7 linked regions of the Xenopus tropicalis genome follow. The protein of the gene in region 3 binds, or shares a complex with, the protein of the main gene of each other region. Links are inferred from orthologs where the notes say so. Each region holds a gene or a part of one and is shown on either strand. Other genes may lie near its edges.

Region 1 (3,500 bases), on a different chromosome or scaffold from region 3:
AATTTCTATTTATCCTTTTTTTTTTTTTAACTCTTTTATTTTCAAGTTTTTATAAATTTTAGATGATATCTTATGAGTACAAAAAACAGTGTCCCATATTGGCCAATTACTTTAATATATAAACTTTCTCATTCTTCAGAGAAATTGTCTAAGGAGAAGGAATTCAAGGAAGCCAAAACACCATTCCCAGAAACCCTTCATTTTTAAATATATATAACTCTTCCTTATCTGTAAGCCTGAGACACAGTGGCACACGTCGGGGCAAAGGTGGAGCTCCTTTATACTGAGCTCCCTATTTCTGTTTAAATATACTCTTTACAGCGAAGCATTGTAGGTGTAAAAGAAAGCAGCAATCCATTTATTATTGATTAATACATATTTTCGCTCATGTAAAACAAAGGAGCATATAGACCAGGGGTGGGCAAACTAAGGCCCGCGGGCCACATCCGGCCCCTTTGCCTTTTTAATCCGGCCCGCCGCCGACGCCAAGTCTCATCACGCGAGACTTGGTGTCATTGGCGTGCCGGAATTAAACAGAGAAGGGGGCCCGCCCTGGCCCGGTCGGGCCCGGGGGTGAGTAAATGTGGCCCGAGAGCCAAAAAGTGTGCCCACCCCTGATATAGACTCAAACACAAATCAGTGGCCACAAGTACTAATGATCATTATAAAATGACCAGTTCTGATCAATCCTTAATTATTGCAATGGATCTGCTAATTACCCTGAAAAATCACTCTGTTATAGTGGATTTAATCAATATTGTTATTGATTGATTCCAGTTGAAAAACTATCATTTTTAATGCAGAAAGAATGCAAAGCAAAAGACTGAGAAAACTTCTTAAAGCAACGAATTCCTTAAAGCCAGAGTGTACCATATTTTTTTTACACTGTGAATAGTGTTTGGGCTAAACATACTTTCCCCCTATTCTTTTAATTAAGAAATATCACATTCTATTTCCTGATCCCAAAGAGAAAAACCATATAAACCAATAGTACACTGAAAAGTCTCTGTATAATGAGCTGCTCCTTATCTAAAATCATAGTCTGTAGCTGGGGAAACGGAGAAGTTGATTTATACATAAATATTTCTTACCCTAAAAGGTTTACCATAAACAGATTCACCTCCTGTTCCAGTACCTGTAGGATCTCCCCCTTGAATAATAAAGTCAGGAACAACTCTGTGAAATATTGTGTTATCATAATAACCTAAAAGAAAAGGACAACACGTTTTAAACACCGCATAAACCAGTTGACAGTCAATATGATATTCCCCACTGCAGACACCATTCTGGTCTATAGGAAATGGATGAGCTACACCATAGTATGGATCAGTCTTTTTGTGGGCAGACAATTAACACCAAAATTAGCTTGACCTTGTAAAATATTAATTTATAGTCTTTGCATGTAAAAAAAAGCATATTGGCTACTTATAATTATAGTAATTTCATTTCCTAGTGTCATTGCCCCCCCCCCCCCCAGAGAAGGGGAACAAAAGGATAGCTTAAAAGAATGAAAATGCTAAAAGGAGAAAAAGTGTAGTGTGTTAAAATAAAAATGTAGCACAGAAAACCTGTTTTTTGCACAATAAAAGAAAATTTTATTCTAGGCAGAATATATTTAGTAACATTTGGAGGGAGGAAAGAAAGTATCTTAGGGAATTTTTATTGGTAGAGACAATGCTGGATGATAAAGAAATAACCTGAAGAAGAGAAAGAAATAAGAAAAAAGAAGTACAATGAAAAAACAATAGAGAACTATATAAAACAGTGCTGTCCAACTGGCGATACTCCTCTGTGTGGCGCCCCACCTGTCTGGCTGCTTTGATGATTTACCTTTGTGTAAACTTTAAATGGTATCAGTACTGAGATTAACTGGCCCCCTGCATGGTTCTCACCTCAGATTCAGGCTGAAAACCACCTGTATTGTTTAAAAATGTAATCCCCTGTGTTGTTCACACCTTTTAATCCCTGCATTGTTCACCCCCTGCAGTGTTCAAACCTCAGGCTCAGGCTGTAATCACCCACATTGTTCACCTGTTCACACCTCAGACTGTAGGAGCAGTAGAAACCCACAAATAAACCCTGCACACTACAAAAAACATATACTGAGGTGGTACTGCAATTAAAAAGTTTTTAAATATATAGTTATTGTGCAGACTGTAGGAGCAGTGCCAGCACACAGGCAGCATAGGGCAGGCAGAGTATGGCACACACAGGCAGGGTAGGGCAGGCTGAGTATGGCTCACACAGGCAGGGTAGGGCAGGCCGAGAATGGCACACACAGGCAGGGTAGGGCAGGCCGAGTATGGCACACACAGGCAGGGTAGGGCAGGCAGAGTATGGCACACACAGGCAGGGTAGGACATGCAGAGTATGGCACACACAGGCAGGGTAAGGCAGGCAGAGTATGACACCCACAGGCAGCATAGAGCAGGCAGAGTATGGCTCACACAGGCAGGGTAGGGCAGACAGAGTATGGCACACACAGGCAGCATAGGGCAGGCAGAATATGGCACACACAGGCAGGGTAGGGCAGGCTGAGTATGGCACACACAGGCAGGGTAGGGCAGGCTGAGTATGGCACACACACACACAGGGTAGGGCAGGCTGAGTATGGCACACACAGGCAGGGTAGGGCAGGCTGAGTATGGCACACACAGGCAGGGTAGGGCAGGCAGAGTATGGCACACACAGGCAGCATAGGGCAGGCAGAGTATGGCACACACAGGCAGCATAGGGCAGGCAGAGTATGGCACACACAGGCAGCATAGGGCAGGCAGAGTATGGCACACACAGGCAGCATAGGGCAGGCAGAGTATGGCACACACAGGCAGGGTAGGGAAGGCAGAGTATGGCAGGTTTTTGCTGTACTACCACCATTAATATGGGTATGGTCATGTGATAACATGAACTCAATGCTCCATCTAGGTCTTCCATTAATGAAATATTCCACATGGGTCCTATTGTACTGCATATCTATCAAACAGGTTTAATTAACAAAAGAAAACAACGAAAAGCTGTGCTTAAGCATACAGATATGAGGTATAATCTAGTATAATCTAGCAGTGTCAGTAAAAAGAATTATTCAGCAGCCAGCAACTGGACAGAATTGTAGTTGCCATGTTTTCACTTTCATAAATAAATGCTTTTTTTTGTTTTAGCTTTGCACCATAAGTAGCTTTTTTAACATGTGTAGTTCTAGGCATAATTAAACAATAGTAATAGGAAGCTTTACAAACCAGCATGCCCCTGCAACTGATTTCTTGCTTTGGCTTCACAGGACTGGAGCAAACTAGCCACCTGTTATTGTATCCCCACATAGTTTAGCATAGGTTAATGTGTCACTATAAAGCAAGGGTTCTTAAGCTATGGTTTGAGTGCCATATACGGCCGCCCATGACGTTAAGAGTGGGATTCCACTTCTTTTAATAATGTGAAATGTCTTTCTACAATGCATAACATTTATTAAAACAAAGTGCATAAGGGGTTGTGAAATAGATTAC
Region 2 (4,201 bases), on a different chromosome or scaffold from region 3:
TTGATTCCACCTAAGATATAATTACCCCTTATTGGAGGCAAAACAATCCTATTGCGTTTATTTAACATTTAAATGATTATTAGCATACAAAAAATAAGTAAACCTTTTTTTTCCCCCTCTCTCTCTAAATAAGACTCTATACAGCCCCAGTATAACATCCCTTTCTTTCTGCACTCAGTCCGATGCAGATTCTGTATCACAAGAAGCTCAACCTAAGATTAGGAAGTATCTGAGAGAGCTGAGGTTGAGCTGTTTGTGATACAGAGTCTGCAACAGACAAAGTCATTTTAGGGGCTTTTAAGATAAAAGGCTTACTTCCCCTTTAAGGGTATGGAGATCCAAATTACAGAAATATCCTTTATCAAGAAAACCCCAGATCCTGAGCATTCTGGATAAAAGGGTCCCATACCTGTACATCAGATGTTGTTCTGCTGCAACCACCAAATTCAAGGGGTATCTCTGTGCATATAACTTGTGTCTGCCCTTCTGTCTATTGCTCAGGGAGTAGAAGAGAATCCCTTCACATGCACAGCCAAGCCACTAGTCTGTCCCAAAGCCTGCCAACTAGTTATAAACTTCTACTCTTTTTGTGAGCTATAGATTGCTTCTTTCTATCTCGGGTCTTCATCTACAGAATCCCTACACTCTCCAATAGTGGCCCTGCTCTTCAATACCTGTATATTTTATATTACGTCAAGATTCTAAATACATATATCTGTTTGTGACCGATGTATTTGCCATTTTTATTCCAGAAAATGGCAGATAACCTGACCAGAGTTATCTCCAGCCAAAAAGTATCATTTTTTGCACTAAGAAAATGCAATAACAGGCAACATTGAAGCATAAATGTATCATTTTCATGGGTTTTATCATTAAAACGTTATTTGGAAAGGAAGCAAGAAGCAAGTTTTTTACCTCTTTCTGTTTTCTGACTCTTATAACAATTTGTCAGGTCTCCTTCAGTTCTGTAAATCAGGTGGCTTGCAACATTGTTTTGGGAGTCAGAGCCAGGAGTGAATAGGATGCACCAGCCAAACAGTTACTGATTTTAATAGCAAATACATTTACATAAAAACAGTAACATCACTGACACATTTTAATGAATGTATATTGGAACGTTGCTTAGTATTACATTTGAATACTGTGCTTGCCTGGTGCCTCTTGTAAAAGCTGCAGGCTGCTGTTGTATGACAAACTTCCCTGTGTAAACAAACTCATAATAAATAATCTCTAACACAAGGCCCAGCAGTTTTTGAAACCAGAATCTGCTGCTGCTGCTGGCAGGTGTAACTCAACAAAAGCTGGCAAGTCACATAGAACATCCTGCTCTGACTTAAAGGCCCTTAAATTAACTCCCAAGATGAAGTATACAATGAAAGTGATACACATTGTTGATTTTCTGTGGTTTCAGAGTCATTTAGCCTTTACTAGGGATGCCAGTATTTTGGGATTCGGCAGCCTACAGCAGTGTGAAGACTATAGTGACATCACTAAAATCTCTCTCCCCTTCCTGTAGGTGCCAGCGGCAGCCTTCCTATTCTCTGAGCATGTGTGTAACTTGATCCTGTCTCCTGTTCTGAGCTACACATGCCCACCAGCCAATCAGAAGTGGATCTGCCGGGGGGGGGGAGGGAATGAAACACATGTGCAGTATGATGCAAGGAGGGAAAGGAAGGGGAAATAGGGATGGCTGCCTGTTCTAGAAAATATGAGTAAGTGTAACCAAGTAAATATTTGATTAGGTGAGCCAAAAGTGTGGCGTTTTTACTAAACAATAGGACTACTGGGCAGTATGCTTTTTAAATTTTGACTTGCATTCTCCTTTAATGTCAATCAGAGGCATAATGTATGGTGTGTCAGGAGGCACTGCCTGCATCAGGACCCGCTCTGCAAGCGCTAGATTTATGCAGAGAGAAGAAACCCTGGGGAGTAAGTGCTCTGTAAAGGGACTTACTTGGGTAATAAATAAAATGTTTCCCCGTTTATGCATGGGTAGTTTGGTTCCCTCCCACACTCCAAGAACATACAGCAGGTTAACGGGGTCTCGATAAAATTATTAGGCATGAATTGATAGGGACCTTAGATTGTAAGCTTCTCTGGGGCAGTGACTAATGTGAATACTGCATTATATGTCAAGCGCAGAGGAATGCCTGTGCTATATAAGTAAATAATACATTAATGGCATGGGGCACTGTGGGCAGAAAAAAAACATGGAGCTTTGACCCCCCCCCCCTCTGTCTTTTTTTTTATACAATTTTTCCACCTTTATTAACTGTAGAGACGTCAACCAGTTCCCTGTCATAAGGAAGATAATGATCCTCTGGGAATTTAGTTCCGGCATAGTTTGGACTAAATATCCCGAACTCAAATGTTATGACCCTCAAGGCATTGGGCTGAGTGCCCCACATAAGTTGCTGAACTATAGCTCCCTTGATCCTCAGCGTTAGAGGTTACTGCAAGTTGTAATTTTCCATTCGCTATAGGATCTCAAGCTGAAAGTCCAGGATAAAGCCACTCTGTAACCATAAGGTAAATGTAAGCAGAAAACTTACTTTGACTTGGGCCACGCTACTCTTCATGATACCAAGCTGCCCCCTCCAAAGCTTCTCGGGGAGATCGGAAAATGTAAAGACTTAGAATAAACAACCGCTTGTTGGTCACCGCCACCCAAATCAAATTACATAAAGAACAATCCCGCTTATTGGATTAAACGCACAGTGTTCTATTTACAATACCGCTCACACTGCACGACATAATACACTTCCGGTTTCCCAGCATTCTCTATTCTAGCCAGCGCACAGTGATATGTACGGGAGCCGAGACAGGACAAACGGGACTAAGAGTCGCAAGGAGAAGCTAAAATAGCAGCGTTGGCTGTAATAAGCGGTGTAGCTATATTGCAGTCCTTTACATTTAATCATTTACACAAATAGGCCCTTCTTCCTAGGTACCAGTGTATTTAAAATTAAAGGGACTTTAAACCGCTAAATATTTTTTGTTTAATAAGAGAAAGCTCTTTCCAATACCCATTGTTAAAAAATAAGTGGTAACTGCAGTATTTTCATGTCCATTCTTTGTTGAGTTTCTATTTTACTTGGTGCAGGAAATTCCCTGGGGTGAGGGCCCTGCTAAATAGTAGTCTGATTACTGACGGCAGCCTGTCACCAAGGAACGGACACTTTCCACATCATACACACTTTTTTTTTAGGGCTTCTGTAACATGATGTGAAACACACACGGGTACATTTATCAAAGTACGATTGCTTCCGAATAGTTTTTGTACTGCGCGTATTTTTTGCGACTTTTTCGTACTTTGCAACAATTTGTGCCACAAAATCGTATTTGTCGTAACGAGTACGAAAGTTTCGGATTCATTCAAGCTTCGGTATCATGACTTTCCTTGGGCCAGGTTGGAGCTGCAGAGTGCCATTAAGCCCTATGGGAGACTTTCCTTGGGCCGGGTTGGAGCTGCAGAGTGCCATTGAGCCCTATGGGAGACTTTCCTTGGGCCGGGTTGGAGCTGCAGAGTGCCATTGAGCCCTATGGGAGACTTTCCTTGGGCCGGGTTGGAGCTGCAGAGTGCCATTGAGCCCTATGGGAGACTTTCCTTGGGCCAGGTTGGAGCTGCAGAGTGCCATTGAGCCCTATGGGAGACTTTCCTTGGGCCAGGTTGGAGCTGCAGAGTGCCATTGAGCCCTATGGGAGGCTTTCCTTAGGCCAGGTTGGAGCTGCAGAGTGCCATTGAGCCCTATGGGAGGCTTTCCTTGGGCCAGGTTGGAGCTGCAGAGTGCCATTGAGTCCTATGAGAGGCTTCCAAAATCATGCACAGAAGGATCAAAGCCATTTACAATCATTCGGATATGAAAATTTAGTCACTTTCGGATCGCCGATACAATATTATCGTGACTAATACGATTTTTTCGTAAGCATTTTCGTGACATTTCCGATCATGAGAAATTATTGTATCTAATCTGAATTATACCCATTTCGAGATTTGAACTCATGCTTTGATGAATCAGCCCCATAGGGGCACATTTATCGAAGCACGATGACCACGATTGCAAAAAAATTTGTATTGTTGTAAAGTTTAGAACTTTTTGTAATGACCACGAAAATATCGGTACAATTACGCGACTTATTCGGGTTTTGCATAAATTTTTATGCAAAAGTCATATTTTTCGCAATGATTACAAACATTTCG
Region 3 (2,736 bases):
TAGAGTTGTAGTACTTTCCCCCTTTATAATTTTTGTCAATAAAGCGAACCCTTAAGTCCCGATGTAGCCAGCTGAGAAAGAGAAGCAAAAAAATATCAATACACAGCATCCCCCAAGGCAAAGTCTTATTATTAATAGCCATCTAATTCGATTTTTTACCCCTGTGGCTCTGGCCTTATCTTCTTCTTTTCTTTCTCTCGATCTGGACTCCTTTGTCGATGTCTCTTTTCTCTGTTATTTAAGTCACTATTCCTGCTTGACTCACTGTGTTTCTCACCATCTTTTCTTTGTTGCTCTTTATCTGGGCTTCTGTCTTTATGTTGCTCCTCTTTGGATTCCTGATGCGCTTTACTTAATCGGCCTTGAGGGACAAGGGAAAAAAGTGAAAAATGTGGGAGTCATAATACTGCTTTTAAATATTCACAGCTATCCTCACATGTGCACTATAGTTGCCATCTTTTTCTTCAACATGCTGCCCCTTGTTCAACATATGTGCAATAAATAAAACTTAAGCCAAACATAATTTAGTTTAGTCCTTCAAACCACACCCATGTTATCATAAGATCATACCCACAATGACACTTTTACTGTCAAGCACGTATGTGATACGTGCTTTTCAGAAAAGGCTTTATCTGGCAAGCACGTATCACATATAGGCACATGTGCAGTAGAGTGAAAAGCCGACTTCTCTGTTAAAGTTCCACTATTCACCCTACTGCACATGCGCGCGAGCGATACAGGAAGGAGGAAGCGCTGCAGCTACCCTGGGCTGGTGCTGTTCTCTCTGAACAGGGGCACCAGCCCGGGGTAAAAGGTAGGCGATTAAAGTCACTTGGGGGTGCCTAACATTTTGGCACCCCCAAGTGACTTTGCCTTTCCTTCACACTCGTGTCTGCTATTGGAGCTTCCTGCTGCAGCCCCTCTGAGCCTGCCCACACACTAACTGCTGCAGAGAATCTGCGGTCCTGGGACCCTCTGTGCAGCCAAGGACTCGCAAAAAAGGTACGTGGCCTTTTTTTAACCTAGATATACCCATTTTAACACACACATACATACATTTAAACACATACAAACCGCCTTTTACTAAATGTGTTTTTTTTTTTTGCATTTCTGTCTTTTTGCATTTGTACATTTTTACACACTTTTTCGAGGTGTACACACAAGTATACAGAAACAGACACAAACACTTTTTTTGCTCTTTTTTAGTTCCTTATTTTATCATTTTGTCTTTTGTTTTTACCTTAAAAATTAGGGGAAACCAGTGTGACCATTGAATAAAGTATTCTGACCACTAACCACGCTGTAAAATAATTAATTTTGTTATTTCATTGACTTGCCTAATTGTATTTCATGTTTGTGATTTTATTGCAGTTTTACACTTGCATTGTTGTTTGTTGCATTTCTTTTAGTGTAGCTTTGCCGTTTGGTGTACAAGGACGTTTTCAGCTGTTTCTGATTTGTCAAAATGTGTACTTTTCAAAAATATATGGTTTTTCTGGGGGTCTCTGTGCAGCTAGGGGGTTTTACTGCATATAACATGCAGTCTGGGCTCTGTTTGCAAAAACTGAGTTGGGAGGCTAGAAAATTTGCATGTGTTACTTTCATTTGGTACATAACCACATACTTAGGTAAATCTATGCATATTGGGCATCAAAATGTTCAGCAGACCTCTGGCATTCAGATTTAGGATGATTTATCATTGTATGTAAAAAATTGTGGGAGATAAATATGACAAATTGCCATATTAGGTGACTTTAGGTGATTTTCAGAAATTACATAGAAAACGCTAACTTTAGGAAAGCTTTGCCGATTGGTATTTTGGTGTAGAAAGGCATCTTTACCCATGTTGGATTTGTCTGAATGTGTACTTTCAAAAATATATGGTTTTCAGGGGTCACCCTACATTTTTGCCTCTTTCACCACACACAAAACTCCCTGTGTGTTTATGAATTAGGTAAATGTAAGCCATGAAATTAGTGCACACAAGGTATATTTTGGGGTCTGTAAGTGCCAGGCTGTAGAGTGGAAGCTTTGAAACAATTTTTCAAAAATGTCACACATTTTTATAAAAACTGGTACATGTAGGAAAGGATTGCAACTTAACTATTACCATTAACCTTTGATGCAACAGATACCACCCCATAGTTCCTCCAATATTTCATATAATGCAGGAATGGCCAAAGGTAGTAGTCTTACAACATCTAAAGGGCTGCTGCATTGTGAGAGCCTTCAGTCTTTCACCAAAACTACTTGGAATATGGAACCTAACTGGGTGGCTGTCCCATTAAATAGTGTCATTGGTGGATGGTTACATGTAGAGCAGAAGTCCCCAACCTTTCTTACTCCTGAGCCCCAGTCAAATGTAAAAAGACTTGGGGAGCAACACAAGCATCATAAAAGTTCATGGAGGTGCCAAATAAGGGCTACGATTGGCTATTAGGCAGCCTCTATGCACATTGGCTTACAGGAGGCTTTATTTGGTAGTAAATCTTGTTTTTATTCAACCAAAACTTGCCCCAAGTCAGGAATTCAAAAATAGCTACCTGGTTTGGGGGCACTGAGAGCAACATCCAAGGGGTTGGGGAGCAAAATGTTGCTCCTGAGTCACTGGTTGGGGTTCACTGATGTAGAGAATGTACATAACACAGCTATGTTTGGATAACCATTTTAGTAATTTTGGATGTGAGAAATTGCTTTAAAAAAAAAAAAAAAAAAATGGATGTCAAATGCATGGCC
Region 4 (4,099 bases), on a different chromosome or scaffold from region 3:
TGGAAAATAGATCCTATAATCTGTTAATAAAATGCAAGAAAGAAATATGCTGGACTCCAGTTTCATATATAGAAAAAAAAAAAACTCTTGCAGAAATAAAAACACCTGTTAACTGAAATTAGGCAGAAAATCTGTATCAAGTGTTCAATGTACCAATAATGTCATGCAAGACAATCTTAATCGGCCAGATATCGATCGGGCAGATTAAAAAATTCAGTCGGACCGGGGACCGCATCGGCACGTTGATGCGGTCCACGAACTGACTGCGCCTATTCCAGCCGTTATAATTCGATCATTTGCCCCCAGGGCCAAACGACCGAATAAGCCTAAATTACCCCGATATTGCCCCATTGCCCAAGGTGTATGGCCACCTTTAGAAGCAGTTTTAAGTAAACAACAACATTATAGTCAGGAGAGATGGCTGCTACATCAAGGCGATGTATCGCTAAAACTTTCAGAATATAATCGATTAAAAATTTGGTACCATTGTGGAAATAATTAGGTTTTTCTTCAGTAACCCCCTCTTAGCAATCTGTCTCTTTTTATGCAGGAGCTGGAGTCAGATCTAATACATCACTGATGTGTGCTCCCTTTGCCTATACAGGTATGGGACCTGCTATCCAGAATGCTCTGGATTAGCAATTATAGGGGTGACTGCGGGTTCAAAGTGATAATTAGGAGCCCATGATTTATACTTAGAGGGGGGCAACAAGTGCACATAACTATATTAGATACTGGTTACACATCTCAGGGTCTAAGGCAGAGGTGCCCAAAAGGTAGATCACGGTCTACCAGTAGATCACTTTAAAGTTTCTGGTAGACCTCGAGGTGGAATGGAGTGGGATGACATCCCGCCACTTTTTTTTCCCCACCCCCAGCATACAGGAGCTTTTGAGTGCGGCTGCTCAAGCCATCCGTCTTTGTAGTTTCATCCCAGTATATAAGACTGTCCCCACCGGGTCGCTGTATATATTTGTTCCCACTTTATAAATGTTTCTGTGTGCAAACTACAAAGTGGGCCATGAAGACGGGAAGTAAAAACTACTACAATCCTTTCACATTAATCTTGAAGTTGGCACCCCCACATGGTCCTGCTCAGCTAAGTCTCAGTAAGGAGAACTGCATCCCTGGGGATGCGCCACATACTATTGTGGTTATAAGCCATAGTTCTCTGGAGAACTGTGTCCCCTTGCTTAAAAATATTATTATTGTAGCTGCACCCCCATAAATTACCATTTAATTGGCTGAGCACTGTAGCACAGGGCAAACATAATAAATAAATGAATTTGTTTTCTTCCAAGTCCAGTGAGTGCTGTGTCCATTTGTTGTTTACATTTTGATAACTACACCAGGCAATTTTTATTCATTAGGAGATTACATTACTATGATATATATGTTATGATTTGTTTTGATTTTTCAAAAGAAATCCCGGAGTTGCTGGTCTTTTTTATACTATTGAAACCCTTTAGAACCATAGAGGAGCACTCCCTAAACTACCCAGGCAAGTAGCCAGAGTGCTGGTAAATATGTTAAATAGAAAAGCATAGTACCACACTCAATGGAAAAACTTGTGAAAAATCAAAATTTAAATATACATACAACCTATGTATGTAGTTGGTCTTACCTGGTCTCTTTCCTCCATAGAAGTTTGTGTATTCTGTACAAGTGATGTACCTGGTAAAATAATTAACAAATAAACAGATTTAGTAACCACACAGGATTAAGGGAAAAAGATGGTATAAAATTAGCATGTAAACATTTCAAATGGCCAAAATAGGATACATAGTAAAAAAAAACTAGAAAGAAAAAATAGTCAAACGTGCAGAATCAACCCTCTAGTGACCAAAAGAGGGAAAAATTACAATTTAACAATTAAGTCTGTAACTATCAAAAAAAGTTAAAAATTATCAACTTTATTACAATCCATTAAAACAAACCCCATGTACAAAGCCAGACGTGTTTATGCTTATGCAGCATGTAATCATAGGCTGGATAAAATTAGCATGCCCAAAAACTAACATGTACAGCTTGAATGTATCAAAAAAACAAAAAAGGAGGATGCTCACTAGAACAGTAACCTATGCCAATGTATTTTTTGACAAAGAGAAGAACCAGTCTGAGGGCTGATGTCAGTGATTATTATTACTGGGGGGTATGTAACAAATGGGACCCGCCACGCTCAGTATGGCATGGTACTCGGGTTTTTCGTGCCATGGGATTTTTCTTAACAATTGGTTAGTCATCTTTAAAAATTGTTTTATTTATTTTAGGGTAGCATAACACATGTCCTGTAAACAGCCTTGGTCATTTTAAACTTCAGAAACCGTGAAAGCATTTGTGAACAATATAGTGATACTTAATGGTGTATAGTCTTTGTGGGGGCAGCAAAGTGGCATTTATGTGCCACCTACAACCTCCATTTCTGCTTACACAGGACCTTGATATAAATGCTTCCCAGTCTATCCTAAATAAAGGTCCCCACTGTATGCAATAAGTGAAAGCCTTCTTCTAACAGATACATGCCCTCCCCCTCACACACAGCATTCCCTTAAACAAGAAGATGAGAGGTTGTAACTCTGGAATATGCTATGTGTGCATTATTGGGCGAGTGTAGATCCACAGACACAGGTTACACAGAGCATGCACAAACAGTACAACAACAATACGCCGCCATTTTACGTATAAGTCGCATTTAAGGCTCGCAACTTACATTTTATCTTTTTGATGCTGACGCTTCCCCATTTTGTTTATCTGTTACTGAAGCCCCGTTCTGTTTCAATACTGAACACTTTTTCCAGACTTAGCGTCCAATTATAACTTCCGGTCCGTCTATTGGTAGGGCTCGGGTACCGGAAGTAAAAAAACGCGGAAGCGTCTAATTCGAAATATCTGTGTTCCTAATACTGGAGACGAGGATGCTATGGTTAAAGTGATTGGCATTAAAGTAGAACTAGTTGTAGATATGCTTTTGTTTGCTCCACGTTTCGCAAATTCATTATAATTAATTACATTAATATGTCGTTTCTGTAAAGGATTTCAAAGAGAAAAGGAGCATTTTAAAGCTGTCAGGGGCAACATGGAAAAGGGAGGGGACGGAGAAGATCTGGCGCGGAGTGAGAAAGTGTTGAAGAGAGCAATAGGTGATGTAGAATAGTAAGCGATGTGGCGGAGAAGATAAATGTTAAAAATAGGGCGTTTGGGGCACCAACCTCAAAGCTGATAAGGAGCAATATGAATATTAGTGTTTTCTTTACCTATTCTGACTCAAGAAATGCGCTAAAATAGGTGGCAAATGCTTTTTGGCATTCTCAAGCCCAGTACTGACTGTCAGAACTAGTTCCTGCCACTCTTTTGGTACCTGTTCTGACACATGACATTATTTGTTTTATCCTCTCTAAATGGTTTCCATAATATGGGATTAAAGGCACAGTTCAGTGTAAAAATGAAACTGGGTCAAATAGACTGCTCAAAATAAAAAAAATATTTGTAATAGAGTTAGGCAAAAATGTACAGTAATTATAAAGGTTGGAGTGGACAGATGTCTATCAATAGCCAGAATACTACTTCCTGCTTTCAGCTGTCTAACCTCAGTTAGTTTGTGAGCACGCAGATCAGATTGAAAAGTAGTGTTCTGGCTCTTATGTTTAACATCTGTTCACTCTAGCCTTTATAAATAACATTTTTGGCTAACTCACCTACCTTTGGCTTCAGCCCTGCCTAAATAGGTGCCTGGCATTGTTTGGTTCCTTTTCTTAGGGCCAGAACAGATGTGTTATCCTGGTTGCCTAAATACATGCTTCACTTAGGTTCAGGCTGCTGGAATAAGTTCCTGGTACCCTATTATAAGAGCTGGAATAGGTGTCAGCACCCCTGACCCCTGTTTTTAGTGCCAGAAAGGTCCCCTGGCCCTGTGGCTCTTGTTCCAAATCTTAATTGGGTTAATTACACCAGGCCCTTACTGGCAATCTGTGGGTTTGGCAAAGGGGCTACTTTAAGATGCCATAGACCAGTGCTGTCCAACTGGCGGCCCGCAACCCCCCTCTGTGTGGCCCCTCACCTGTCTGGCTGCTTTGATGGCTTACCTTTGTGTAAGCTTTAA
Region 5 (4,115 bases), on a different chromosome or scaffold from region 3:
AACTGATTGCCATTTGTTTCTTTCTTCATCTCGTGTGTTTTTCTTTTTGGAGGGAGACTTCTAGCCAATCCATGTGAAACAGGTGAAATAATAGGTGAATATATAAAATTTACTTTTAAAAAAAGACAGTGACGGGGTTGTTTCTCTATCCACACTTGTAGCATATATTTACGAGCAGCTGCAGATATGATAAACAGTACTTTTCTACTCCCCCAATAAGTCTAGTATTTGGTAGGGATACCAAACATTGTCAATTTTGGTAACATAGGAACATAATCCATTTTGGTAACATAGGAACATAGTCTAGCAAGTTATCAATGGCATAACAAGTTATTGATACCCAAAACTTTTTACTATGAGGACATGTCCAGAAACAATTAAATAAATCTGCCTCCAGAGAGTCCTATTTGGGACTGACTTTTGGCGAGTAGTAGGCTCAATAAAAAGAATTTTAGATGCATTTCTTTATATGATCCCATTGGAAGACATTTATTTGCATACTGTAAGGCCTTGAGACATTTGTAATTGAGAAAATTTCAGAAGCCATTTGTTGTGTCCCTTGGTGGAAGAAGTATAGACTATCTGCTTATATAATAGACAGGGTTGGAATGACAGCACACGCAGGATGTTTTTCAAGAAGAATCACAGAGGTTTAGGGCCCTTTTGTGCTTAAAAAGGTTTGTACTGCACTGTGATGTTACTGTCCCTGATGAAAGTTCCAGATAGGAACTGAAACGTCGGACTGAATAAAGCCTCACATTTATTTATCTAAACCTCTGTGATTCTTCTTGAAAAACATCCTGCGTGTGCTGTCATTCCAACCCTGTGTATCTACGCTTTCAGCACTGGCACCCAGGTATTAACTTGCTCTTATGGTGTGCAGCTTTCCAGCAACTCATTTCTGCTTATATAATAGTTTAAAGCCCAGTGATATAGCTCTCTTGGCGGGAGGATGGCTATATAATTTTACTGGTATCGCTTTTGAAGGAAAGCCAGTAACTTGCTAGAAAGCACTGGATACTTTTCTTTGGCTTGAACATACGTTAAAGTTTTTCTATTTGCATCATCTGTAAAATGGCTTAATCAAGCCAGAGTGATACAACTGTTTGTATATGCCATGTTTGCCATACTGTATAAAGCAAATGGTTATCTGTCCAAGTATTCAGCAAGGAATCAACAGTTTTTAAAGTCCTAAACTAAAGATTTCTCTGCGCAAAAGCCTGATTCTTCATTAGTACCACAGATTTGTGTGTTATATAATTAACGCAGCAACTGGGAATATTGTTTTCAAGGCATGGGGCAAAATACAGTGAAATATCACCAAAAAAAAGCCTGTTCCAGGCTGCTAAAAAATAAACATTAATCTTTCAGTAGAACAGTGATCCCAGTGATCAAATGGCTCTGTCACAGGCCTGACCTCAATCCAGCTGAGAATCTCTGGCATTATATGAATAAATCTGACTGGGTGCAATAGCCGAGGGCTACAGGCACAAAACTGAGATGAGGCACATTTTCAGTTTTTGGTCAAAATATAATTTTTTTTATTTCTCAAACATTTAAAATTTAAATGCACATCAGCATCTTACATTTGTCACATGATATGGAAAGCTTAAAACAGACCCTTACAAGTCAATCTTGGTAAGCGTCAAATTTAAACTTTTTTTTTTTTTTTAAATATACCCCTCAGTTTAACGTGAACCCAGTAACTGAGTGCATTATACTCTTCTTTATGAAATTAAAAGAAAATAGTATCAGTTTGTGTGTGTTTTTTTTATATGCAGACATGTTAAGTGTGCTGGTTGTATGAGAATGTGTGCAGAGTGAAATGATGTAATGTTACAGGGCAAGGAAAGGGAAACTGGAGTGTGTGCTAGGGCAGACCCTGCAGTTGGAAGGGGGCCCAGGAATGGAAGTGGCCCAGGAATGGAAGTGGCCCAGGAATGGAAGTGGCCCAATAAGACCCTAATTGATGAGAAATGTCAATGTATCTTGGTAGAATAGGTTAACATACAAATATTTTTTGGGCCCTAAATTGAAATTGTTGTGGTACCCCACTGGCTTGCAGTATACATGACTGCTGGTGTAACTAGAGACCACTGGGCCCAACCACAAAATTATCTTTTTATTCATAAACATATATTTAGCCTTATCAGTTGCAGCCACTGGGTCTGTGACATCTATAATTACAATCATGGGAAATAGCCCATAGTTTATAATGAAACCTACTGCCTCCAAATGGTGAACTAGAACTCTAATCCCTCTCCCACACTATTCCCCTATCAGTGGGTGCAGATAAAAAGGCAGCATTTTTTCCTTCAGTGGAACAATATGCTCCTATGTAGAAACAGAAATCATTACCAGTTCCCACACAGTGCCCAATTAAAACCACATGAATATAGAAGAGCTAACATTCTTATGGAAGCTGTAACTCAGTGATAACTCTAGGGAGCAATTTCTACGAAGGGAAACCTGCTAGAGCGGCACTGGCGCTCAGTCCCACCGCAAGAATACGCTGGAATACTAGTTGTGTGGACGTATAAAAACCAAAACAAAAACTGTAAATGTTTCACGCACTTTGACTGCTCTGGGCCTCCGTCCTTCGCGGTACTTGGCCCGTGAGGCGCATATCTTTCGCTGCTCATGGTGTGCGTAGGCCTGCACTTGCACTGCTGCGCTTTCTGCCATCGGCTTCTGCTGTCTAAGAAATAGTTCCCTCTCTCCCTGTACCAAACACAGGCCGGGACACAGAACCAATAGGCGGAAAGGCAGCAGAACCAATAGGCGGAAGGACTGCCCCGCACACAGGCGTCATTAGAGCACGCCATTCTCTGATTGGGCGGGAGGTACTATACGTCAGCAGACACAGGGTGAGTGGGATTTCCTCGATTGTCAAAGGTGAAACAGCGCGGAAGTTACCCAGTAGGCATGAAGGAGCTGATAACGTTAGCGATGGAAGTTCTGTTACTTGCACGTTCGTCATACACAGCGCTGGAGTGAAGGGGGTTGCTGTGGGTACGCCACAGTAGGATGCTAGGTCCGGGACCGCCCGGGGCTGCTGTGTCCCTGAAACTCACAAGTGCTAAGGACACATTTTTGCGTGTGACACCTGAGGTGCTCGCACAATTACGCCTGGAGCAGGTAACTCTAACCGGGGCCCGTCTGTCCGTGATGGGCAGCACTTGTTTATTTTAATATGATGCCTGTAATGGCCCTGTCCGGGCACTAACCAGGGCTTTGGGATTCTCAGGTGATTCTACATGGAAAGCAGGAGGGAGTTTAGTAACATGACATGAGGTGTATTTGTGTAGGTGTCAGAAAAGGATTAATAATATCAACTGGGATAATAGCCTCTGGGAAGGGACTGGGGCTGTGGGATAGCAGGTATAGTAGGGAGAGATGGTGCCTATAGTAGCAGTGGGGGGATAATAGCCTCTGGGAAGGGACTGGGGCTGTGGGATAGCAGGTATAGTAGGGAGAGATGGTGCCTATAGTAGCAGTGGGGGGATAATAGCCTCTGGGAAGGGACTGTGGCTATGGGATAGCAGGTATAGTAGGGAGAGATGGTGCCTATAGTAGCAGTGGGATAATAGCCTCTGGGAAGGGACTGTGGCTGTGGGATAGCAGGTATAGTAGGGAGAGATGGTGCCTATAGTAGCAGTGGGATAATAGCCTCTGGGAAGGGACTGTGGCTGTGGGATAGCAGGTATAGTAGGGAGAGATGGTGCCTATAGTAGCAGTGGGGGATAATAGCCTCTGGGAAGGGACTGGGGCTGTGGGATAGCAGGTATAGTAGGGAGAGATGGTGCCTATAGTAGCAGTGGGGGGATAATAGCCTCTGGGAAGGGACTGTGGCTATGGGATAGCAGGTATAGTAGGGAGAGATGGTGCCTATAGTAGCAGTGGGATAATAGCCTCTGGGAAGGGACTGTGGCTGTGGGATAGCAGGTATAGTAGGGAGAGATGGTGCCTATAGTAGCAGTGGGATAATAGCCTCTGGGAAGGGACTGTGGCTGTGGGATAGCAGGTATAGTAGGGAGAGATGGTGCCTATAGTAGCAGTGGGGGGATAATAGCCTCTGGGAAGGGACTGTGGCTGTGGCATAGCAGGTATAGTAG
Region 6 (3,948 bases), on a different chromosome or scaffold from region 3:
TTGACGCTGCTTCTTGTGGCTCCTGCTCCTTATGCGGCTCCTTCTACGGCGGCGACAGGACCTTTTATAAGGTTGCGCCCCGTGCGTACGTGTGACATCACACGTACGCATGGGCGCAACCTTATAAAAGGGCCTGTCGCCGCCGTACGAGGAGCCGAATAAGAAGCAGGAGCCACAGGACGAGACGGAGCCGGAGTGCTGGCTGCAGTCAGCGCATCCCGCTGGCCTGGATAGTTTAATGAATGTTCTGCATTTCCGTAATGCGGGACATTCATTGAACAATCCGGGACAGCGGGATGCGCTGTAAAAACCGGGACTGTCCTGCGAAAAGCGGGACAGTTGGGGGGTATGCAACCCACTTAGGGTCACAGTGTAATGCAACCCCTCTCTCACTTTTTCTTTCTTTGTAAAAAGCGCACAGATTCTGGTATAAAGGGGGACAGCTTGCATTACATTGGGAGACAAATGTGCTAAAGAGCACAGAGAAAACTATCATGGTTTTCTTTCTACCTGTGGAATCAGGTACTCCTGGGTGATATCACTCCAACTTGCAGCGCAGCAGTAAAGTGTGACTGAAGTTTATCAGTCACATGGCTGTAGCACCCTGGGATATGAAGAATATGGCTAGCCCCATGTGAACTTTTAAAATTAAATATAAAAAAAAACCTGTTGAAGTTCTATTAACCGATGCATTTTGAAAAAAAACCTTTTCTCATGACAGTATTCCTTTACCCATTCTAATTTTACCCTCCAAGTGCCACCAAGTCCTCGGAAAATCAAGGCTTCTAAATCTGGACTGTTGTGCATAATAGTGAATATAATTACATAGCGTTAACAAATAATCAAAACAAGGTACGAAATACAAATAGACGGGACGCAATGTTTGTATTTGTTGTAATTGCAGTCAGCGCAGTATAGCAACTTGCATTTATTAGAAATGCCTAATTGCGGTTCCTGGGGGAAGGCCCTGTAGTACTAGTAGTACTGAGGCGGCCCGGAGTCAGCACAGAGGGTGAGCCTTGTACAATACAACACCATTGTGAAATAATCCCGCCTCCACTGGCGATTGTTGGAGTCATGTTGGAAATCCAACTCCAGCCACTAGAGGGAGCAGTTAGCCATTCAACGCGTGTCGGCTCTCTATGGTCTTTTCTCCTGTCGCTTCCGGGCCTTGGCAGCCATTTCCCGCTTTGCTCCAGCGGTGTGTTCTACGGGACGCTCCGGGGAGGAATTTTTTTTATTGATCTGCAGTTTGTTGTGAGGCTGCGGTCGCACCATGGTAAGTACTGGAGGTGTGCGAGTTCCAGGCCTGGCGGGACAGGGGGTGTCAGTGTGTAGGGATGGGGGGGAGTGCAGGCAGCATGGTGTGTGGGGCTGTTCATTATCCCGAGTAGCAGCTTATCCCGCCGGATTTACAGAATGGGTTATGCAGTTGGTTCGGGTTTGTTTGGTTGCTTTATTGTTAGGCCTGTGTGGAAAGGCGTAACGTGTTATCTTTGCAGCGTGTGTACTCGCTAAGGGCACGTTGCACGGAAAGAGCCTGTATGTAAGGCGCGGTGTAGGCTGCGCTGAAATATAAGTAGCCATGCAGCGTGGGATGGTACTATCTCTACTGGGGATGAGCCGCGAACATGGGATGTTTGCGTCTGTTCTTAAAGCGGTGGCACATGGGAGTTGATAATTTCCTAAAGGCCATGTGTTCCTCTGCCTATCATATCTCAAGTGGTAATGCTACAAATGGCATGTTATACTGTTTGTACTGTGACTGCCCTCAGCCAGCAGTGATGTGCAGCCTTGTGGCCCTCCAGCTATTGAACTGCACTTTCAACTATCAGGAAGAATAAATAAATGCCCCTTTTTCATTTTACTGTGGTAGTGTAATAATATATAGCCTCCTACCAAAGAAAGGATGATTTCTATTAGATATGGATTTGTGGTTGTTGTTGCTGGCCGTGCCCCAAGTATCATTATTAGGCAGGTGTCCCCTTTTGGTTTCTTGGAAGGGAGCATGAGAAAACTGAGGACAAATAAAGGCAGAGATATAGTATTGAAAATGTATGCATATGATTACTTCAGGTTATTGCATGAGTTGACGTTTTAATCACAAGACCTATTGAATATTTATATTATAAATGATTATATTTTCAGAGTTTACCACTGAATCCAAAACCCTTCCTTAATGGCCTCACTGGTAAGCCAGTTATGGTAAAGCTGAAATGGGGGATGGAGTACAAAGGCTACTTGGTATCAGTGGATGGATACATGAACATGCAGGTAAGTAATAGCACTGAACATGTCAGATATTATAGTTGGTTACTTGCTGTTATAAGTTAATTTATTAGATTATTTAATAAAAAAAAATATATATTGTATGCATGTGTATATATAATTTATATTATATTCCCTTTATATTGTGCCAGAATTGTATCTGGGCTTTCCTGTTGCCATTTTAGAGCAGTGTATGAGACATTTGGATTGGATTGCCTCTGTCTCTAGTTAACACTAGGAAATTGCACAAGTAAAATGGTTTTGGGCATCAGCAGCCCATTGCTGGCAATGAAATACATTAAAGGAACAGTAACACCAAAAAATTAAAGTGTAAAAAACTAACTAAAATATAATGTGCTGCTGCCCTGCACTGGTAAAAGTTGTGTGTTTACTTCAGAAAGTCTTCTATAATTTATATAAATAAGCTGCTGTGTAGCCATGGGGGCAGCCATTCAAAGGAGAAAAGGCACAGGCACATAGCAGATAACAGATAAAACACTATTGTACTCTACAGAACTTATCTGTTATCTGCTATGTAACCTGTGCCTTTTCTCCTTTTTTCCAGCTTGAATGGCTGCCCCCGTGGCTACACAGCAGCTTATTATATAAATTATAGTAGTGTTACTGTAGCAAACACACCAATTTTACCAGTGCAGGGCAACAGTGCATTATATTTTCATTACTTTAAAGCTCTTTTATTTTTTGGTGTTACTGTTCCTTTAAGTGCTGCTTAAGGTTGCATGCAATTAGCTGGAGTGCTTGCCAGAGTGTTGTGACACTTTATAGTACCATTGCTAACCCTAGTAGCATTAGCACCAATTAGCCAGCTTAATTGCTTTTAAAACATAAGTAACAATTAATATTAATATTTCTGTATTGCAGAGTTTTTTTTTTTTATAGTAATGATGGTTGAGAAAGTAATGAGTGTCCATTATCCAAGGTTGCTGTGATGTGTGAGAAGCTTTTTCTGTTGGTTAATTCATTTATATATATTATTGCAGCTTGCAAACACAGAAGAATATATTGATGGTGCATTGTCTGGACATCTTGGAGAAGTTTTGATAAGGTAAGAATTGTGCACTGGGGATGCTTTGTAGGTGGTCACATTACAGCATATATGTCTGCTTTTCTGAAATAGAAAGCAAACTCTTGTCAGCATGTTAAGGCAACTGCATGTGCCATATAGATTGTAAGCTCTACGGGGCAGGGACCTCCATCCTCTTGTGTCTTTGACTCTTAACTTATTGCAACTGTAACTGTATCTTGTATGTATTTGTATTTATTGTTATACTTTGTATTTATCTATTATCTTATTAACCCCCTATTTGTATTAATGTATTCTACTGTACAGCGCTGTGTACATAAGTAGCGCTTTATAAATAAAAATATATATACATACATGTGAACCAGTGAAAAATGTAAAGTATATTCTGTAAAAAAAAAAAATGTACTTTTTAAATAGTTTCTTATCTAAACTGTGTAATTTAACAATTATTTAAAAAGGCAACAAATTGTCCTTTTAAATATTCTCTTTAAAGCACAACCTCCAAGGAGGCGTGAGTAGATTGCCCTTTTTTTTCTTGATAACTACCTAGTAGCAAGAATTGTATCCCTTCTCTAGAAAAACAATGTGACTGCTACCTTTTCTCTGCTAAACTGTTTAACTATTGTATTCCTTTT
Region 7 (2,219 bases), about 15 Mb from region 3:
TACTTGCCCCTTGTAGCAAAGATCTATTGTGGATAAATCTCTCAATGGGACATCAGTCTAAAATGGCAGCTTCTATTTTAAATAAACGGAGAGAGCTTCTATGACCGTTTACTCAGGTATGGCAAAGCATTTTGCAGAATAAATACAGCATTCTAGCTTGCACTATTGTGGTTAATCTATTGGCAATAAAATGCCAAACTGCCTTTTTATTATCATTTAAATAACAGACAAAGCATATGGGCTAAAGTTGTGGGCAACCACCCTACATACTTTATTTAAAGGCGAATGTACACAAGCTTTCAGGATGGGTTCTAATTTATGTCCAAACTGAACTGTATATAGTGTATGCTGCAATTGGACGAACAAAATTCTTCTCATCTTTTGCTTTGTGGTCTATTCCTTTCTATGAATACATAAAGAAAACTGGGCTATCATGGATGTGCAATTTTATTTTGATGGAATAATACAGCTAGTTAAATACATTCATGTAATAGCGGAAATGAATACACAAATCTTGCTTTATTTGTCAAAAAAAAAACAAAAACATTATGACCACCAAATAAATCTAATAAACATACATTTGACAAGAGAGTGGTGGGTTAGTGGCATCCAATAGCTTTTTATATTATCCAGTGGCCAGTAGCCTGGTGGTGGGCTTCCCCCTCAAAGGGGTGAAAAAAACTCAAAGTGATAAATCACCCCCTAGGAGTCTGTATTATAGGTACATATGAAGAGCTTAAAAACCTTCTATACAGAGGTTCCAAACCAACCCCACTAATACAAGAAGTAGTGTAGGTCTGGCATAATGCTCTGAATTTTTTCTGTTCCAGAACTCCATCTGTGGACCAAATAATATTAAATGCATTAAGTTTAGGTTGCCCTGATATTGTAGACTCCCAATATTAATATCTGGTCAGAGCTAAAGACAAATAAGAATGTAAATGTCTACAAAGAATGTATCTCTGGTAAATGCCCTAAAATGTCATTTGGTCCTGTCACAGGATACAAAGGTTCGGAAGTTTGATAATACCAGTTAGATGGTCATAAATAATGTGCTGATACAGCCAGATCCACTAGCCCCTACCAGGAGCCGTGAGAAAACTAGTAGCAATACTCATCATTGTAATACACTGAAAAGCAGAAAGCCCATTGGAAAAAAGCACATCAATATGGTGTTTGCGCTGCACAAAGTTATTTATGCTGGGATGCCCGACAAATTTGGAATACTGTACGACCCCTTAGGTGTACACTGAAATTAACATGATTTAAGTTAATGCTTCTGCAGGGCACTGCTTTACACTGATGCCAATAACTTGTCATTCCAGTGCTGATTCACTTCTAAAGGCTACAATAGTGATCACCCCCTCTGGCAGCATGGGTGCATATAATGTAACCCTTATTATACTGTTTTTTCTTTCCTCTTCATATACAATGACTGTATGTAATGCCCTAAATGATACACACTGCTATTTGTGCAGTCACAACAGGCCATTGCTCCAGTTTTGTAAAATGTGTGTACTATTTGCATATGCCTTGATGTACCAGCTATACTATATTTTAATTCTGCTTGTGAACTAAATCTATTATAATCTGTTCAATAAAACTTGTATTGTTAAAAAGTAAAAAAAATACATTTGATCTTGGTGATTTTAAAGATGGAAAATCTCATTCTGCAGGTAAAGCTCTACTATATTACGCCAGATTACTCTATTTTAATACCTCATGAACTGATGTCACTTTACTTTGTCTACCAGTTTTTCAAATATTTTTTATCACTGCTCAGCAGTTGTATTTCTAATTTAGTTTTTTGACAGACAAACAATTATAGCAAGGTTCAGCTCCTGCCATTTCAAAGTGGCCAGTACATCACAATTGCCTTTTACTTCTTAAAATCCTTCTCCCATGCATCATTCCATACACTGTACACCAAGGGTCCTTAGTATGTATTTAATAACAACTTGGGCTTAAACACTGCACAGACGTTCCACCTCTTATTGTCCCCATAAAGCATACTCTTCTGCTACCTTCTGCCTCTTTCTGTCTTGTCTTTTGATCTTTGCTCTTGCTGCTCTCTGTACTTATCTCTTGGCATTTGTTGTTCTCGCTCTTTGCGTTCCTCTTTTTCCTTGTGCTGTTCTTTGTACTTATCATGGGAATCACCTTTGCTGTTACTCTTTTTGTGAGAGCCACGGTTTTCTTCCATGGCCCTTGAGCTCTCA

Evidence for each region.
Region 1: gpkow (region 3) and cwc27 share a complex: the UniProt entries of both Homo sapiens proteins name them as parts of the minor spliceosome. The link is inferred for Xenopus tropicalis from reciprocal best matches to the Homo sapiens genes GPKOW and CWC27.
Region 2: gpkow (region 3) and cwc22 share a complex: the UniProt entries of both Homo sapiens proteins name them as parts of the minor spliceosome. The link is inferred for Xenopus tropicalis from reciprocal best matches to the Homo sapiens genes GPKOW and CWC22.
Region 4: gpkow (region 3) and ppil2 share a complex: the UniProt entries of both Homo sapiens proteins name them as parts of the minor spliceosome. The link is inferred for Xenopus tropicalis from reciprocal best matches to the Homo sapiens genes GPKOW and PPIL2.
Region 5: gpkow (region 3) and rbm48 share a complex: the UniProt entries of both Homo sapiens proteins name them as parts of the minor spliceosome. The link is inferred for Xenopus tropicalis from reciprocal best matches to the Homo sapiens genes GPKOW and RBM48.
Region 6: gpkow (region 3) and snrpf share a complex: the UniProt entries of both Homo sapiens proteins name them as parts of the minor spliceosome. The link is inferred for Xenopus tropicalis from reciprocal best matches to the Homo sapiens genes GPKOW and SNRPF.
Region 7: gpkow (region 3) and rbmx2 share a complex: the UniProt entries of both Homo sapiens proteins name them as parts of the minor spliceosome. The link is inferred for Xenopus tropicalis from reciprocal best matches to the Homo sapiens genes GPKOW and RBMX2.

The regions. Positions count from the first base shown.
Region 1 is NC_030677.2:188,222,693-188,226,192, forward strand, and holds part of cwc27 (spliceosome-associated protein CWC27 homolog), read right to left. Parts: intron 1,205-3,500; coding exon 1,092-1,204; intron 1-1,091. UniProt on the Homo sapiens protein: As part of the spliceosome, plays a role in pre-mRNA splicing. Probable inactive PPIase with no peptidyl-prolyl cis-trans isomerase activity. As a component of the minor spliceosome, involved in the splicing of U12-type introns in pre-mRNAs.
Region 2 is NC_030685.2:63,083,823-63,088,023, reverse strand, and holds the start of cwc22 (pre-mRNA-splicing factor CWC22 homolog), read right to left. Parts: upstream 2,801-4,201; 5' UTR 2,580-2,800; coding exon 2,553-2,579; intron 1-2,552. UniProt on the Homo sapiens protein: Required for pre-mRNA splicing as component of the spliceosome. As a component of the minor spliceosome, involved in the splicing of U12-type introns in pre-mRNAs. Promotes exon-junction complex (EJC) assembly.
Region 3 is NC_030684.2:24,001,980-24,004,715, reverse strand, and holds part of gpkow (G-patch domain and KOW motifs-containing protein), read right to left. Parts: intron 362-2,736; coding exon 160-361; intron 72-159; coding exon 1-71. UniProt on the Homo sapiens protein: RNA-binding protein involved in pre-mRNA splicing. As a component of the minor spliceosome, involved in the splicing of U12-type introns in pre-mRNAs.
Region 4 is NC_030677.2:154,149,600-154,153,698, forward strand, and holds the start of ppil2 (peptidyl-prolyl cis-trans isomerase-like 2), read right to left. Parts: upstream 2,801-4,099; 5' UTR 2,743-2,800; coding exon 2,711-2,742; intron 1,675-2,710; coding exon 1,625-1,674; intron 1-1,624. UniProt on the Homo sapiens protein: Has a ubiquitin-protein ligase activity acting as an E3 ubiquitin protein ligase or as an ubiquitin-ubiquitin ligase promoting elongation of ubiquitin chains on substrates.
Region 5 is NC_030682.2:31,762,945-31,767,059, forward strand, and holds the start of rbm48 (RNA-binding protein 48), read right to left. Parts: upstream 2,801-4,115; 5' UTR 2,686-2,800; coding exon 2,575-2,685; intron 1-2,574. Other genes in the region: pex1 (peroxisome biogenesis factor 1), read left to right, coding at 3,028-3,138. UniProt on the Homo sapiens protein: As a component of the minor spliceosome, involved in the splicing of U12-type introns in pre-mRNAs.
Region 6 is NC_030679.2:57,034,801-57,038,748, forward strand, and holds the start of snrpf (small nuclear ribonucleoprotein F), read left to right. Parts: upstream 1-1,148; 5' UTR 1,149-1,276; coding exon 1,277-1,279; intron 1,280-2,148; coding exon 2,149-2,274; intron 2,275-3,269; coding exon 3,270-3,334; intron 3,335-3,948. UniProt on the Homo sapiens protein: Plays a role in pre-mRNA splicing as a core component of the spliceosomal U1, U2, U4 and U5 small nuclear ribonucleoproteins (snRNPs), the building blocks of the spliceosome.
Region 7 is NC_030684.2:38,932,791-38,935,009, forward strand, and holds the end of rbmx2 (RNA-binding motif protein, X-linked 2), read right to left. Parts: coding exon 2,021-2,219; 3' UTR 501-2,020; downstream 1-500. UniProt on the Homo sapiens protein: Involved in pre-mRNA splicing as component of the activated spliceosome. As a component of the minor spliceosome, involved in the splicing of U12-type introns in pre-mRNAs.